Tamandua tetradactyla: one gene and its partner. The protein of the gene in region 1 interacts with the protein of each later gene in a pairwise test. Links are inferred from orthologs where the notes say so. Each region holds a gene or a part of one and is shown on either strand. Other genes may lie near its edges.

Evidence for each region.
Region 2: the proteins of EGLN3 (region 1) and FOXJ2 interact in binary tests that used the Homo sapiens proteins (3 or more experiments, as listed by UniProt). The two-hybrid records come from large-scale screens. The link is inferred for Tamandua tetradactyla from reciprocal best matches to the Homo sapiens genes EGLN3 and FOXJ2.

What each region holds. Positions count from the first base shown.
Region 1 is NC_135340.1:20,112,212-20,120,027, reverse strand, and holds the start of EGLN3 (prolyl hydroxylase EGLN3), read right to left. Parts: upstream 3,022-7,816; 5' UTR 2,673-3,021; coding exon 2,316-2,672; intron 1-2,315. UniProt on the Homo sapiens protein: Prolyl hydroxylase that mediates hydroxylation of proline residues in target proteins, such as PKM, TELO2, ATF4 and HIF1A. Target proteins are preferentially recognized via a LXXLAP motif.
Region 2 is NC_135333.1:70,436,242-70,443,131, forward strand, and holds the start of FOXJ2 (forkhead box protein J2), read right to left. Parts: upstream 3,013-6,890; 5' UTR 2,936-3,012; coding exon 2,914-2,935; intron 702-2,913; exon of another isoform or gene 1-701.

The DNA of each region.
Region 1 (7,816 bases):
ATGCATTTTTAAAATAAATGTGCAAATTCTGCCTTTTAAAATTTTACTTTTTACTGAAAACCTGATTGAAGAGAGAGCAGGAAACTAAGTTCGTATCATTACTTTAGGAAGTAGCTCAGAATAATGGATACCACTGAGGGAAGAGAAGTGAACAAAGATGAAATGAAGGTGAAACTAATATAAATCAAATGGAAATGGAATGTGTGCATTTCTACAATGCTTTAAAAATGAGTTTCAAACAAGAGACCCAAGTGCTAGACCTTGCTTAGGAGACTTCTGTATATAAGCATATCAGGCTTTTAAAAATGTTGACTATCATTTTTAGCTCAAGCCTGATTTGCGTTTGGTTCTAAGGGGCCAGGAAATGAATATACCAATGTAGAGGTGAATTTTCTGAAGGACAGGAATGAAGATTTTTAAACAGCCAAAGGAAAGCGGGACATCTGGGTCTGGACAGATGGTGCTTAAACCCAACTCTTCAGTGAACAAAATGAACCTTCTCATTTTAATTTACAATCTCCTTCTGAAAGTTATCTGCAAAGTTACTTGTTCCACCCAGAAGATAAACCACTCCTGAAGAATCATATCTAGAGATTTTTTTTCCCCCTCACTTTGAGGTACACAATACTTGTCATTCAATTCGTCAAGTTAAAGTGTAGCCTGAAACCCCACCCTCATCCATTAAGTCAAAGCAAAAGAATAAAATTTAACTTTCAAATGTTTGTGACCTCTTTCTAGCAATTAATTCTGACTTCCCTTGGAGCAGATTCTGTTCCTAGTATCCTGGGGGGAAATTTCCTAACTCTAAATTGCAAAGAACCTTAAAAAAAAACACAAAAAACAGATAAGCCATTTGTTATTCCAGGTTGAAGTTCCATGCAACTTTGCATTGCTGAGTAACCCTCCCCACCACCCCGCCCCACCCAGTTCTCCCATCCCAGGAGACAGGCAAGGTCACAGTACAAAATCAAAGCTAATCAAGACAAACGACTTTCTAATCCACCACAAGAAAGATGGAAGAGCAAAGAAACACTGTAATAGCAATCTTCTACAGAATTCAGCTAACTGAATTTCCCTCAAATCAAAGTAAAATCTAGAAAGCAGAATTTTCTTCTAATATTTACTTGATTTGATTATTTATGATGCTTTTCAGAAACCCTGTTCCTGCCCTCCAGGCTTGAAAGGAATATAACAACCTACTTGTCCCCTGCTCCATTCACCCACCCCAATCTTTCACCTTATGGGAAAATGAGATTACAATGGTTGGTTTTATCACAGGATCAATCTTGAATCGAGAAATGCAGATGTTTTTAAGGAATGGGTCACTGCTGGTATGCTTTATTTGACTGTTTGAATAAAACTTTCCTATACTTCAGAGTCCGCCATAAAAGAAGTGCAAATCACAGCACTGTCACTGGAAAAATGGCTGGTCTATCATTTGAAGAAAGGCAGCCTGTCTTGACCATCCCAAAGTAATCTAAGTGCAACAACATCATGGTACCTACATGTTCCCTTACTTCTGCCAATCTCCCAGTAAACGTCAACAAGATAAAATTACCACTCAGGGAGCCACTTCTGGCTATGTGAGCAAAGAAATCATTTCTTTCCATCATTTCTTGATTACTCTCTCCTGATCACGTAACCGGTTGTTTTGAGTGGATTTTGCCATCAGTTGACAGTGGCGAATGTTGGACACATGTTCACAACCAAGTGGATGGTTTAATAATGTGCTGGGTCCAACCAGTCAAGGGTAGCAGCCCTCAGAATGAAGAAGGGACCTTTCACTTTATAATGGAGGTGTTTTACCCTTTCACAAGCCAAACTCTTTCCACACCTGCCACACACTCCACAAACCAATTGCCACGTTGCAAAATCACAGCTCTCTCCAGAACTCTTTGAGTGCTTTTGTAGGAACCCCTTCTGAACACAATGAAGGGGCATCCTGGATGAGTTTAAAGCAGGCATTTAAGCTAATGAGTACACGTGTGCCTCAGATCACACACAGTGTTTCTAATATCCTTTCCTTCGTTTGGATCTCGGAGAACGGAAGTCTCTTAAAATCAGACCAAAAGCCACGGCTTGTTTAGCTTTTAGCACTCACTGGAGCCATTATTTCAAAGTCAACAGAAGACCATTAAAATTAAACACCTGAGCCCCTTACCAGCGACTCTGGCTCAGAGGTGCCAGGAGACAAAACTGACTTCTTGATTAAAAACTTGCAACCCTGCGAAGGCGGCAGACAACTGCCTCCCGAACGCTCCCAATCCCTGCGGGTGGCAGCAGCAGCGGGGCGCCGGTGCCCGCGTGCGTCCTACCTTAGACCTCTCCTTGACGTAGTATTTGCCCAGCCGGCGCCCGCAGTACAGGACCAGCCTGTCAATGAGGGACAGGAGAAAGCTGATGGCCTCGCACCCCTCCTCGTTGCCCCCGATCCACGTGATCTGGTCGCCCCGCAGGTGCCGCTTGGAGACTCCAGCGCGCGGTCCCGCCAGCTGGCCGTCCCGGAGGACCCCGTTGCAGTGCAGCTGCTTGACGCGCTCCAGGACGCAGTCGCCCACCACTTCGCCCAGGAAGTTGTCCAGGTAGCAGAAGCCGACCTCGTGCAAGTAGGGCACGATGTACTCCAGGGCGATTTTTTCCAGATCCAGCCTCATGATGTGTCCCAAGGGCATCTCGTCCGCAGAACCGAGGTCGGGGGCCCCCACTGTGCACTCCGGCAGCGAACGAGCTAAGCGTGCGCGGAGAAGAGGCGCGGGGTGCGTTGACTAGGGGTTCAACTACCTGCGGCGGCCACGGTCCCCGAGCCACCGCAGCCCGGAGAGAAGGAAAGTTGTGCGCAACTCTGGGGCGAAGGGATCCGGTCCAAGGCCCAGCGGGAGCAGTGCAGGGCTCCACGGCGCAGCGCCGACCTGCAGGACTCAGCCCTGGACTGGCCTGGAGAGAAGTCGGAGAGCCCCTTTTAGCAGAGATGCGAGGCCACCGCGGACGCGGCGGCGGCGGCGAGAGGCAGCTAGAGGCTGAGGTCCTACTCCTGAGCTGTCCCGCCTCCGGGACAACCCCTACTCCCGCCCGTCGTCCCCGCCCCTTCCCTCCCTGCCCTGCCCCCTCCGCGGAGGCTCTCCGCGAGCTCGGCGCCAGCCTGGGTTGTTTGTCACACCGAGGGGGGCTGGAGCACAGAGGGAAGTTTCCAAACGCTATCGATTTGCATGTGCTTTTGCATAAACCCCCATGACAAACTCGAAAATCTGAAGTGTCGAAAATCTGAAAGTGTCGATGAAATTAACGGCATAGACAATTAATGTTGCCACAATCTGGGCTGCTCACCTCACAGGCTTTTGAACAAAAATATTAAACCCAGCAACAAATTAGATATGTCAAGCCGTCGTCTCATTCTAGCTTTACCTCGTGCTTTTATTATTCCCCTTTCCCCTTTCCCCTGCGGTGTGACCCTGGTCAGGGGCTTCAAACCCCTGAGAGGATTGGAAGCAAAACAGTGCTAACTAAAATTAGCACCTTAGCAAACATTTTCCTAACTCCTACTACGTGCAAGTCCCTATGTTCTCAAAGAGCGGGAATGTGCACAGTGAAGAAATACTTTCTGGGCCATATCTGATCGAACCCTGCAAATGTTCTGTTTTTCTGGATGTTCTCAGACATTTACCTTTCAAACTTCCAACGAAAAGATGATGTTCTGAAATTTTACCTTCCAAATTAATCAGATGCTCAGTATAGGTATGCCCTCAAAAAGATAAAACTATTCTGGATCCATCCTCTCACTTTTCCCAGCAAGTGACCGCATCACCCAGAAGGGGTGAAACTTTTAAGTATTCAAAGGTCAGCTGATTGCTTTATGAATTACTGGTCTTTCCTACCAAATCAAACAGCAGAGATCAGAATCAAGAAAGGAAGTTTCATAAATTGCATGCATATCTGTTGCCTATTTTATAATTTTCCCATTTGTTTGCACTCTAATTCTTCATTTAAGTTGCACAAAAGAATATACAGGTCTTACAAGTACATTTATTTCATACACAATCTACTACAGCTTTTTCACTTCTCTTCTCCTTTAACAGCCCTTCCCTTTCTATGTCTGAAGAGAGAAATGTAGAGATACAAACTAAGTGAAGTCTAGACCCAGAACAAGAAGTAGAATAAGAAAGGGACATTGTTACTATATGATGGGGAAAAAAGCTGACAGAGGCACATGGGTGCTGGGAGACGTCAATGTTGGAGCGTTTAAGAAACTTTGGTAAAATTTCTAGTTATACTGAGAGGAGGTTCCCTACCTTTGGTAATTAGTTGGCACCTTTCCCCTGGGGTAAAGGCCTGAACCGGCCAGCACTCAAGGACTTGTCCTCCAGATTCCCATAGCAGGTCTGTGATGGCCAGAAATCATCATCCTTGGATCCCCAAATCCGGGCACATAGTAGGTGCCTAAAAAAATAATTACTGGGAAACTGGGGGCTGACCCTGAGCTATGGCCACTGCCATGTGTGGTTCAGACGTGTCTGGGCCTGTGTGGGAGCCTGCTGAAGGAAGCTGCTTGCATGCGGAACTGAAGAGCCTTCCAGAGTATTGACTGGACGGAAGTGGCAGGCCGATCAGCCAGGTCCCAAACCAAACCTCAGAGGCCTGTGGAGAGGGTCAGTTAGGTGTTATACAGGATTTTTGTCTCTTAGATTTGTCTCCCCAGCCAACCGTGGTGGATGCCCATGCTGGAAGCCAGAAACCTAAAGTGAAAGCTGGAGGAACAGCCCATGTGCAGCAAGGAGTGAAATGGATATGCAATACCAAAAGGAAGGAAGGTCCTTCTGCCTGAACCTCACATAGCCAGGAATCCCAGTAATCTGGGGCATTATAGATAATGGGATGACCAGGGGACACCTAGTTGGGAGGCAGCCTGATTGTAGGTCCTGGTAGGCAGAGGCTTGTGGATCTGGCAGTTTGGGAGACTGTGTGTACCTCAGAAGTAGCTATTCCTGAAGAGGGCCAGAATTAAAAGTGGGGAAAATGGCAGATACCTTTGATAGCTGGTTGAATTTTTTCTAGCTGAAGGTCCTTTATAAATATACCTGATGGTACTAGGAATAATTAGGAGGGAATTTATAGAACACCAGAAAAAAGTAAAATACAGAAAATTATAAACCTGCCACCTAGAATGAACATGTTGACCCCACTCTAAAATCCCAAGATTAGGTAAATTTGGCTTACTATTCAAATAATATTTGAATAATTTCAGAGTAAAGTTGTCACAAGAGGAAGGGGAGAAAATCTTTAACTAGCCCTTTGCTATATAGTTCATCCACATTGTAACAATAATTCTAAGCAAGTTGTAGTGACTGTTTGGTGGCCTTAAAACTGCTCTAGAGTACTCTGATTGCAAAGTGTGAGCAGTTTATAGAAGAATTCATTTCTGTTGGCACCACTCCTGCTTGGCAAGGGCACCTATTAATCAAGAATCTCCTTCAGCTTGGGGCTGCCCATACTGCATTTGGCAGAGAAGACAGAGATACAGAGACTGGCAGAAATCACAGTGTGTGATTACACAGAGGGGAGCAGACAGGCTGGAGCCACACACAGGCTCTGTAACTGAGCATCAGAGTGACAAATCTCAAGCTAATTTTTGAAGTGCATTTGTTTTTGTGACTTTGCTCATTAATTTGAGTCATTATAGTAATGAATATTAAAATACTTTTTCATATTGATAACTAAAACAAATTCATTTCCCTGTAATTTAATTACAACAACGTTGTCTTCCAGTGAGCATCTGCCATACAGATGCAAGAATTTTCAAGCATGTGGGTGAGGAGGGTTGTTGAATTTCTTTACCTTGGAATTCAAACTTGAAGAGATCTTAGGGGTCACCCAGTCCAGCTTCACTTTCATATAGAAAGCCATGGCCCAGAGGGGCTGGACATTAAGCTACTTTTCTAAGTAAGATGTTTCTTGTGAATGGAAGAGGAAGCTTGGGATGCTTCTGTCTTTGCAGTTAACAAAGCGATCCAACTCACCTCTTTTTAATTTTTTTTAATGTTATTTATTTGTTAATGAGGTAAAACTCACATTTCTAACATGACTAATTTGGTGGCATTTATTGCATTCACACCATTGTGCAACCACCACCTCTATCTAGTTCCAAAACATCTTCATCACCCCAAAAGAAACTCTGTACCATCAAGCAGTTAATCCCAATTGCCCCCTCCTACCAGCCCCTGACAACCACCGATGTGTTTTCTGTCTCTATGGATTGACCTATGCTAGATATGTCATATATATGGAATCATACAATGAATGAGCTTTTGCATCTGGCTTCTTTCACTTGGAGGGTAAGCCACCTTGTACCATGTATCAGTTCTTCATTCCTTTCTTACGGCTGAATAACATTCCATTGTATGCATATGCAACAATTTGTTTACCCCTTCTGACAGATGGACTCTGGGGCTGTTTCCACCTTTTGACTGTTGTGAACAGTGCTGCTATGAATTTGCAAACAACACTTTGTTAAGTCCCTGTTCTCAGTTTTTTAGGGTATGTACCTAGGAGTGGAATTGCCAAATCATATGGTAAATTCTGTGTTTAACTTTCTAAGGAACTGCCAAACTGTTTTCCATAGTGGCTGAACCATTTTACACTACATTTTATAATTTACATGCACAAGTACTGTATGAATTTTCCATCACATCCTTTCTTATTTATGAAAAAGTGTCTAATTTGTTTCGTTCCTTCAAAATTCTGTTGTGCCTGAAGTTCCTTCCCTCCTAACTAGCCCCTAAATATTCTTTTTTTGTGTTTTTGCCCATATATCATCAAGAAATTTATTATTATATTGAATGACTTAAGGTAGCCAAAGGCTATTTTATTTATTTATCCAACACTTTTGTAATACTTAGAATATTCCAGGCACTTCAATAAAAACTTTACAAATATTACCTTGATTCATTCTTATGTCAACACAAAGAAATAGATACTATTATTCCCCATTGTGAAAATGACAAAAATGAGGAACAGAGATATGGAATTTGTCCAAGGTCACACAGTAAGTGAGTTTATAACAACGCTGGAAAAATTTTGAGAGATTCCAATATACTGAGCTCAGGAAGGAAAATATCAGTTTGAACTGCTTGCTTGGAATAGAAATGATTTTGCCATTAAGTCATCTTTTTGTTATAACTCTTTGCTGGAACGCTTTAACCTGCAGTGACAACTTTAATTATCAGTTTCCTTACTGATGTTGGGTCCATAGGTAGATAAGCAAAACTTACCATAAATTATTTAGTTGACTACATTAGGAGTTATTTTCCAAACTACAAATTAGGGTTTCTCCCTTGCTCCATACCAATTACGGCCCAGTGTTTCCAGGAATCCAACATAAATTCAGTTATGTATAGGTCTGTTGAGACTAGCCATTGGTAATTTGCTACCACCTCAGTCAGCTGTGTTTCTCAGTTTTACCCTTCAGGACACAGGAAATGCAGTTAATTTTAAAGGAGCTGGCAAAAAATAAGAGGAGAGTACCTGAAGTGAATTTGTATATCTTGAGCTCACAGGTATGAATTGGGCTTAGAGAAAGAAGCATCTGATTATGTCCCTTTCCCTGTGGAGTCAGGCCTTCCTGTTCCTCTCCAGGTGTAACAGGACGGCAAGGAAAGTGAGTTTCAATATCAATTCTTAATTCTTTCTCAGTCTATGGTTAAACTCAATCCTCTTTCATTTTCTCTTTCATTATGCTGGCCATGTGCAGATTCTGGGACATGTGACATATCAAGGATATGCATTAATATTTTCCAATCCAACTCTCACTTGAGCTGAAATGTCT
Region 2 (6,890 bases), on another chromosome or scaffold:
ACAAGAAGTTGAGGGGGGAGGTCTTCCCCTCTCCTGAGTTCCTGAAAGCAAATTTCTCTTCTTTCCTTGGAGTGCCCTCTGCTTCTGAATATAAAGACTCGACCCCGTGAGTACCGGGTAGGATGGAGGGTGCTTACTCCATAAGCATGGCCCCTCTCTCTCTTTGCCTCAAAAGTTCTGAACTGATGAGAGTGTGTGTTCGGAGGGATGTCACGCTGAGGTGGCCTCACTCTGCTTCCTTTAGGAAAGATCGCCCTTTTCTACTTCTGGGGGTCTCCTCCCGGGGTGGTAAGGGGTTTTCCTAGCCTTTAGGAAGGAGAGACGCGTCCTCTATAGGGGTCTCTTCTTTTCCTCGCCCGAGTGCTAAGGGTCTGTTCTCCCTGTTCCGACACCCACTCCCGCCTTCACTCCTGGGGTGCCCCGGAAGGTGGGGCTTTCCTACTCCCCTCTCCCTGAGCTGGCCTGGGCAGTAGGGTGCGGGAGGCCGCGGCTCCCGACTCCCGGCACCGGCTACAGTGGCGGCAGCGCCTCCTCTAGTCCCGTCCGGGCCTGACCGCTCCCTTCGGCGCGTGGGGCTCCCGGCGCTGCCACCTCTCCGACTCCGGCCAGTCCCGGCTCCCGGGGAGCCAGAAGGCGTACGGACCGTGTCAGGGCTCGGCTCGGGCTCGGGCTCGGCTCGGCTCCGCTGCAGGCCCCGGCTCCTCCCCGGCCTCCGCGCCGCACTCCGCGCCCCTCCTTCCCCCCCGCCCGCCCGGCCGCCGCCACCGCCTCCCGGCGCGGGTTAAGGAGGAGCGGGGCGGCCAAAGCGCGGGCAGCGCCGCCGGGGTGCGCGCGCGCCGCCAAATTGCTGCGCGCCACCCGCCAGCTCCCGGGAGGACCAGCCTTCGCGCAGCCCGCAATCCTGGGGCCGCGCACCGCCGCCAGCGAGCCTCCTGCCACCGCCCGGCCGCTCTGCTCCGCGCAGGTCGCCCAGACAACCCCACCGCTCTCCATCGACGGACAACTGTCACTCTGACCTTTTTTTCTTTCTGTATACAGTTGAACATCCCCAGAAGTTTTCTCAGGAATGTCTTTGATGAATTTCTTCCTCCCATCCCGTCACCCCCGCCCCCAATCCGCCTCACAGACTGTTGGTACAGGGTTATCGGGGCTGGGGCGAAGTTAATGTTAACCCTGAAATCATCCTGGAGTTCATTCAAGTGCTTATTGGACGAGTGAATGCATAAAGGGATAAATGACTGTATAACAGAGAAAACTTTTGCAGGTCTCTTGTTCTCTGGAATCTTGGTCAGCAAAGAGGAGACCTTGAGTTCTGCCTACTCACTAAGGCCGTTTCAAGAACCAAATGAGATGATTTATGTGAAAATACTTTTAAAACCGTACAATATACAAAACGCTTTTAAAACTGTACAATGTACTATATATTGTTCAGTTCTCTTTATCATAGCATATAAAATGTTCTCAACAGCACAACTCTGCTCCAAGTATGCATGCCCTCACAGAATAATCCTCACTCAGAGACAGAAAAGGCCACCTGGAGCACACCTCCACCTTTCTCCTGAGATCATAGTATTTCTCTACAAATGCTCTTATATTCCAACCTCTGGCCTATTAAACTTTCTCCACCCATTCTACTTTGTATCACGTAAATAACATGAGAGCAGAAATGTTGTCCATGAAATATTTGAATTGCTCAAAAAAGACTCCATACTCAAAATTACAGCTTGGTGACATTTAACCTTTGGACAATAAAATATTTTGTCTTCTGACTATATGTAGTACTATATTTTATTTAAATTATACATATACATTATAATTGCATTTTATTTACAGTGTCCCAGGCATTGAGCATGTATTATCACATTTAATTCTTATAGCAATCCCATAAGGGATTATTTTATACCTATTGTACAGATACCGTTGTCTTAACTGTCAGAAACTAAAGTTATCCTTAAAGTGGATCAAGTCCAACTGAGCCTTTACTTCCTGACAATCTTTCCAATATCCAGGTTTAAAGTTGTACTTTTTCCCCTCTTTGAGGCATTAATTCATTTTCCCATGTGCTGCTATAGAAAAATACTTTGGCAGCGAATGTTTCTTGCTATGTTTAGGTTGTTTTGTTTCTTTTTTCAACCCTTTTGGGCATTTTCTATGTATATAGAATTTGGGTAGAGAGATAAAGTACTAAAAATGGGAAAGAAAGCTAGAGAAGGCTTAGAATCTCCTTTCTGGATATTTGGAAAAATAAAAAGCTTAAGAACTTATTTGATATATACACGATACTTACTGCACAATTATTTGTAACGGTAGACAATTAGAAACAACATAAATATCCAAAATAGAGTAACAAATAAATTATGGCATATATATATATATATATATATATATATATATATATATATATATATATATATATATATACACACACACACAATACACTATGATTTCGTTTTTAGAAGAGTAATTGTAATTTACTAGGGAAGGTGAAATTAGTGCAAACTAGCTTTTCTTCTTTACAATTTAGATATTTTGCAGTAGACATGAATTATTTTAGATTCAATTTTTTTCATATATCTGAATATATTCCAGTGGGAAACTCATGTTGAAAAACTGTTTGTATAATATGAGCATATCATTGCTCTTTTTTTTTTCCAACTTTGTACTTTTATTATTATATCATGTTGTCCACAGTTCATTTATTCTCCTTATATTTTTTTACTTTTTTGTGAAGAATAACATATACAAAAAAGCAATAAATTTCAAAGCACGTTGCAACAGTTGTAGAAAAGATTTCAGAATTTGGTATGAGTTACAATTCCACAATTTTAGGGTCCTAGCTGCTCTAAGATACTGGAGCCCAAAAGAAATATCAATATAATGATCCAGCAATCATACACATTTGTTAAACCCTACCTTCTCTGTATAACTCCACCATCACCTTTGATCTTTCTCCTGCTCTTTAGAAGTATTCCGGCTATGGCCATTCTAACCTTTTCATGTTGGAAGAGGCTGTCAATAATATGGGAGAAGGGGATGAAACTAGTTGATGTTCTGGAGAGGCGATGCTTTTAAAAATATCTGTACATACTGTGTAAAAAAGAGGAGTGATTAAGATTTTTTTTACTTCATTTTATACTCTATATATACTTTATATATTTTTATATGGATTTTGTTTATATAATCTTTTAGATAAAAAATTAATGAGGATGATTTGGTTTGGGGGGAAGCACTTGCATGCATTCTCCTCTTACTTTCTTTTAAGGAAAGTGATATGGAGTAGCAAAGAATAAAAAAAATGATCCACCCTTACTAAAATGGAACATATTATTCTTCTTGAGTAAAATCCTTCTTCATAATATTTTATTATGGTGATTGTTATGCTAAAATTCACATTTTTGTAGTATTAATTAAAGACCTATGTATTATTTGAAACATAGTATACTGGATAAGAACACATCCTACACGGATTCAAAAACCAGCTTTGGCATTCAATAACTAAGACCCTGGAAACATCACTAAACTGTTCTATGACATAGCTTCATCATCAGTAAGAGGGGATAATAGTATGATCATAGTATTATGGAGGGGTTGTGTGACTTTGTATCTCTAAAGCAGTTAGGTAAGTGCCTGAGAGAGGGGGAACCTAGTCTTTAAAAGAAGTTTAGAAGACACAGAAACTAAATAAAATTTATATGGGCCAAGAGACATCCATCAAATTCAATATGCAAACGGTTTGGGGGACCCTTTTTTGAACAAAACAACTGAAAAAATATTAAAGGACAATTGGTGAAATGTCAATATTGACTTGGGTAATATTAAGGTATTATTGTTATATTTTAGATGTGTTAATGGTATGGTGTTAATTTTAAGAATCTTTATCTTCTAGGAATGCATACTGAAGAATTTAGGGATAAAATGTCTGAAAATTGCCTCAAAATAAGCAAGGCGGGGGAGTATAGAGATGAAAAAAGATTGCCCAAGTGTTAATTGTAACAAAATGTGTTTTAAACAAATACTATTCGCTATACTTTTTTGCTTGAAATTTTACAAAATAAAGTTTTACAAATACTGTTTTTGAAAAGTACTTGAAACATACATAGTAGACTATGTAAATCTTTACATTATCATATGTTTTGCATGCATATTTCCTTTTGTTTACACTTCTCAGATTATGCCATGTTTGCACTTACACTAGTTATTTTAGTACTCACAGTAAACCTGTGCGGTAGGTATTGTTATTCCCATTTCATAAAAAGGAGAAAACTGAACCAGAGCCAGGATTGCAAGGCCGTACAATGTACCACCTCCACTCTACCAGCTTCCAAGGCACCGGTTGTAAAGAGTAGGAGTAACCCGCAGCACAGGGTCCTGGCTTCCTTCAATAGCTACAGCCATGTCCAGTGGGGGAGAGACAAAATCGATATACAAACTATTCATTTAGGAATTTTATCAAACGAAAACGGAGATATTTGCACATCAGAAAAATTCTAGCAGCTGCATTAAAATGTCATAGAAGACAGCGGAAAAGATTAAATTATAGAGGAAAAGTTCTCGGCATACTTTACTTTTCCTTCACATAATTGTTTAATAATTCGCTTTCTAAACAATTCTTATTTCTGTTTATCCCTCCTAGTAATAAAACTGGAAGAAAAAGTCTGCGGGACTAGATTTGAGAAACTGGGATTCAAGTTTGGGAGCCAGGAAGACGTGATCTACTAGCCCAGGCACCCAATAGCTCATTCAGTTCCACCTTAAGAGGACGGCGCCTCTCCCAAGCAGAGCATCCACTCAGCCCCTCCCACCCCCGTGTCAACTACGACCCGGGAACGTGGGGAAAGGAGGAGAGACGCACAGAATGGAACGACTGGCGCCCGAAGTTCCAGAGTCTTCTTTTCCCCTTACTCTGCCGACACCGGAAGAAGCGCGTGAAACAGGGGCCTTGAGGCTCAGTTCTCCGGAGGACTTCAGGGAGGGGGCTAGGTTTCACTGAAACGCCGGGGTGGGAGGTGAGGAGTGGGGCCCATCAAGGGGTGGGGCCGAAGTGGAACAGAACTGGGGCACACGAGATATACGGTACGCCGAGATCTTGGGTCGAAAATTAAGTTCACTGGTCCCGGACGCACCTCTTCGAATCGTTTGGAAAAGAGAGGCCGACTTTTCCATTCTCCGCCCCCGTTTCCCGTCTTCATTTTAATTGGCTGGGTTTAGGGTAGGCTGGGCTCCAACTTGCGTGTTGATTGGCTGTATAAGTAATCGATCACAAGATGACGCCGGCGAGGGAGCGCTGTTTGGGGAGGAAGTGAAGGATAGTTTGGTACCTCCTACGCCAACTACTGATTGGTTAAAATTAGCGATGATGTAAAGCAACACATAAAAATGCCCTGTAAAGGAAAGAGCCTATTGGCCACTCCCGAGGTCTAGGCTAGGACCGGGAAGAACCTGCCAGACTCTGATATTGTAGGGAAGGACCAAATTAGTTGAAACCCGGAAATGAGTTAAAGGAACTGAAGGAAAAGAGGGATACCCATGGCATTTTCTTTGCCCTCAAACATGTCATTTCCTGCGTGGGATCGATAGTTTCCTGTTTACTTCTCCGAGGTCGGCGTGTACGCTGGCTTTCTGGAGTATAAATGATTAAATTCATTTGGTCCCAGACTTACCATTTACTTACAGTATTAGGAGAATGAATGAAGTGAAGGAAAGAGAAAGCACGGGATTTAACCCTCTCTTTGGGGAAGGCTAGGGAAACAGGCTCAGTAGAGAAAGCTGAAAGTCACGGTATACAAGCAGGTGGGATCCTAAAGAAACTAATTATGCAATAATTGCAGAGTGGTGGTAGAGAAAACAGTAAAGACTTGTCTGCAGAATGGCCAGGAGCTTTCCTGAGCTAGGAGTATATTTTATTCATTTTTGTATCTTCTGTGCATGGCAGTGTCCGATACGTAGTAGATAGTCAATAATTGCAGAACTGAACTAAGCTAGGGTGGAAAGTCCTTATAAAGTATACTGGATGGATTCTACAGATGCCAGACCTTTAGGGCATGTTTTTAAAAGGTATTGCTGCCAATTTTATGACCCAGAAACAATTTTTCACACCGTTAATTGAACAATAAATTTCCCCTCAATTTATCTTTCTAGAAAAATTGAACAGATAAAGGGGATTAGTGGAACGATGTGCTCTAGATTGAATAAATGGAAAATAATTTACAATCTGAGGTTACAGCCTAAGAAGAATTTGAAATTTGAGTGTTTAGGAGATACTTTCTATGCTAGTAAATTATGAAATCACTTGCTTCCTAAAACAAATGTCACTTTTTTCTGGGCCAGACTTTTTCTTATAGCTAGATTTCAGCAATACCTGAACGTTGTCTAAAAACTGTGCTCCGAAATTCAGGGAACAGTGCACGGACTTCCTGTTAGGATTACAGCTAACGCTCCAAGGGCTGTTTGTTGAGTTTCTACCACACATATGTACTGCCTATCCAAAGAGATCTCATCTTTTCATGATATCCTAGGTCTTCTAGGCCAGATTATTTATAGAAAGTATAATCATACTGGCTCTTCAATATCATTACAGTCATAGTTTACAGCCATAGTTTCTAAACAAGAACAGGACTCAGCAGCTATATTTGCAATAAGAGTCCATGGGAAAATTATTACTGCACTATAAACAGTTCTAGCATAGTCAAGGTATGTGTTGCTTAGGCAAAAGGGCATGCGTTAAAAGGGGAAGGAGATTAACAAATATATGAAGAATCCTGTTTATGAGAGAAAACTTTTTTAACATTTTTTATTATGAAACAACATATATATTAAAAAGCAATTAATTTAAAAATATATTGTAACAAGTGGTTATAGAACAGATTTCAGTTTCATATGGGTTACAGTTC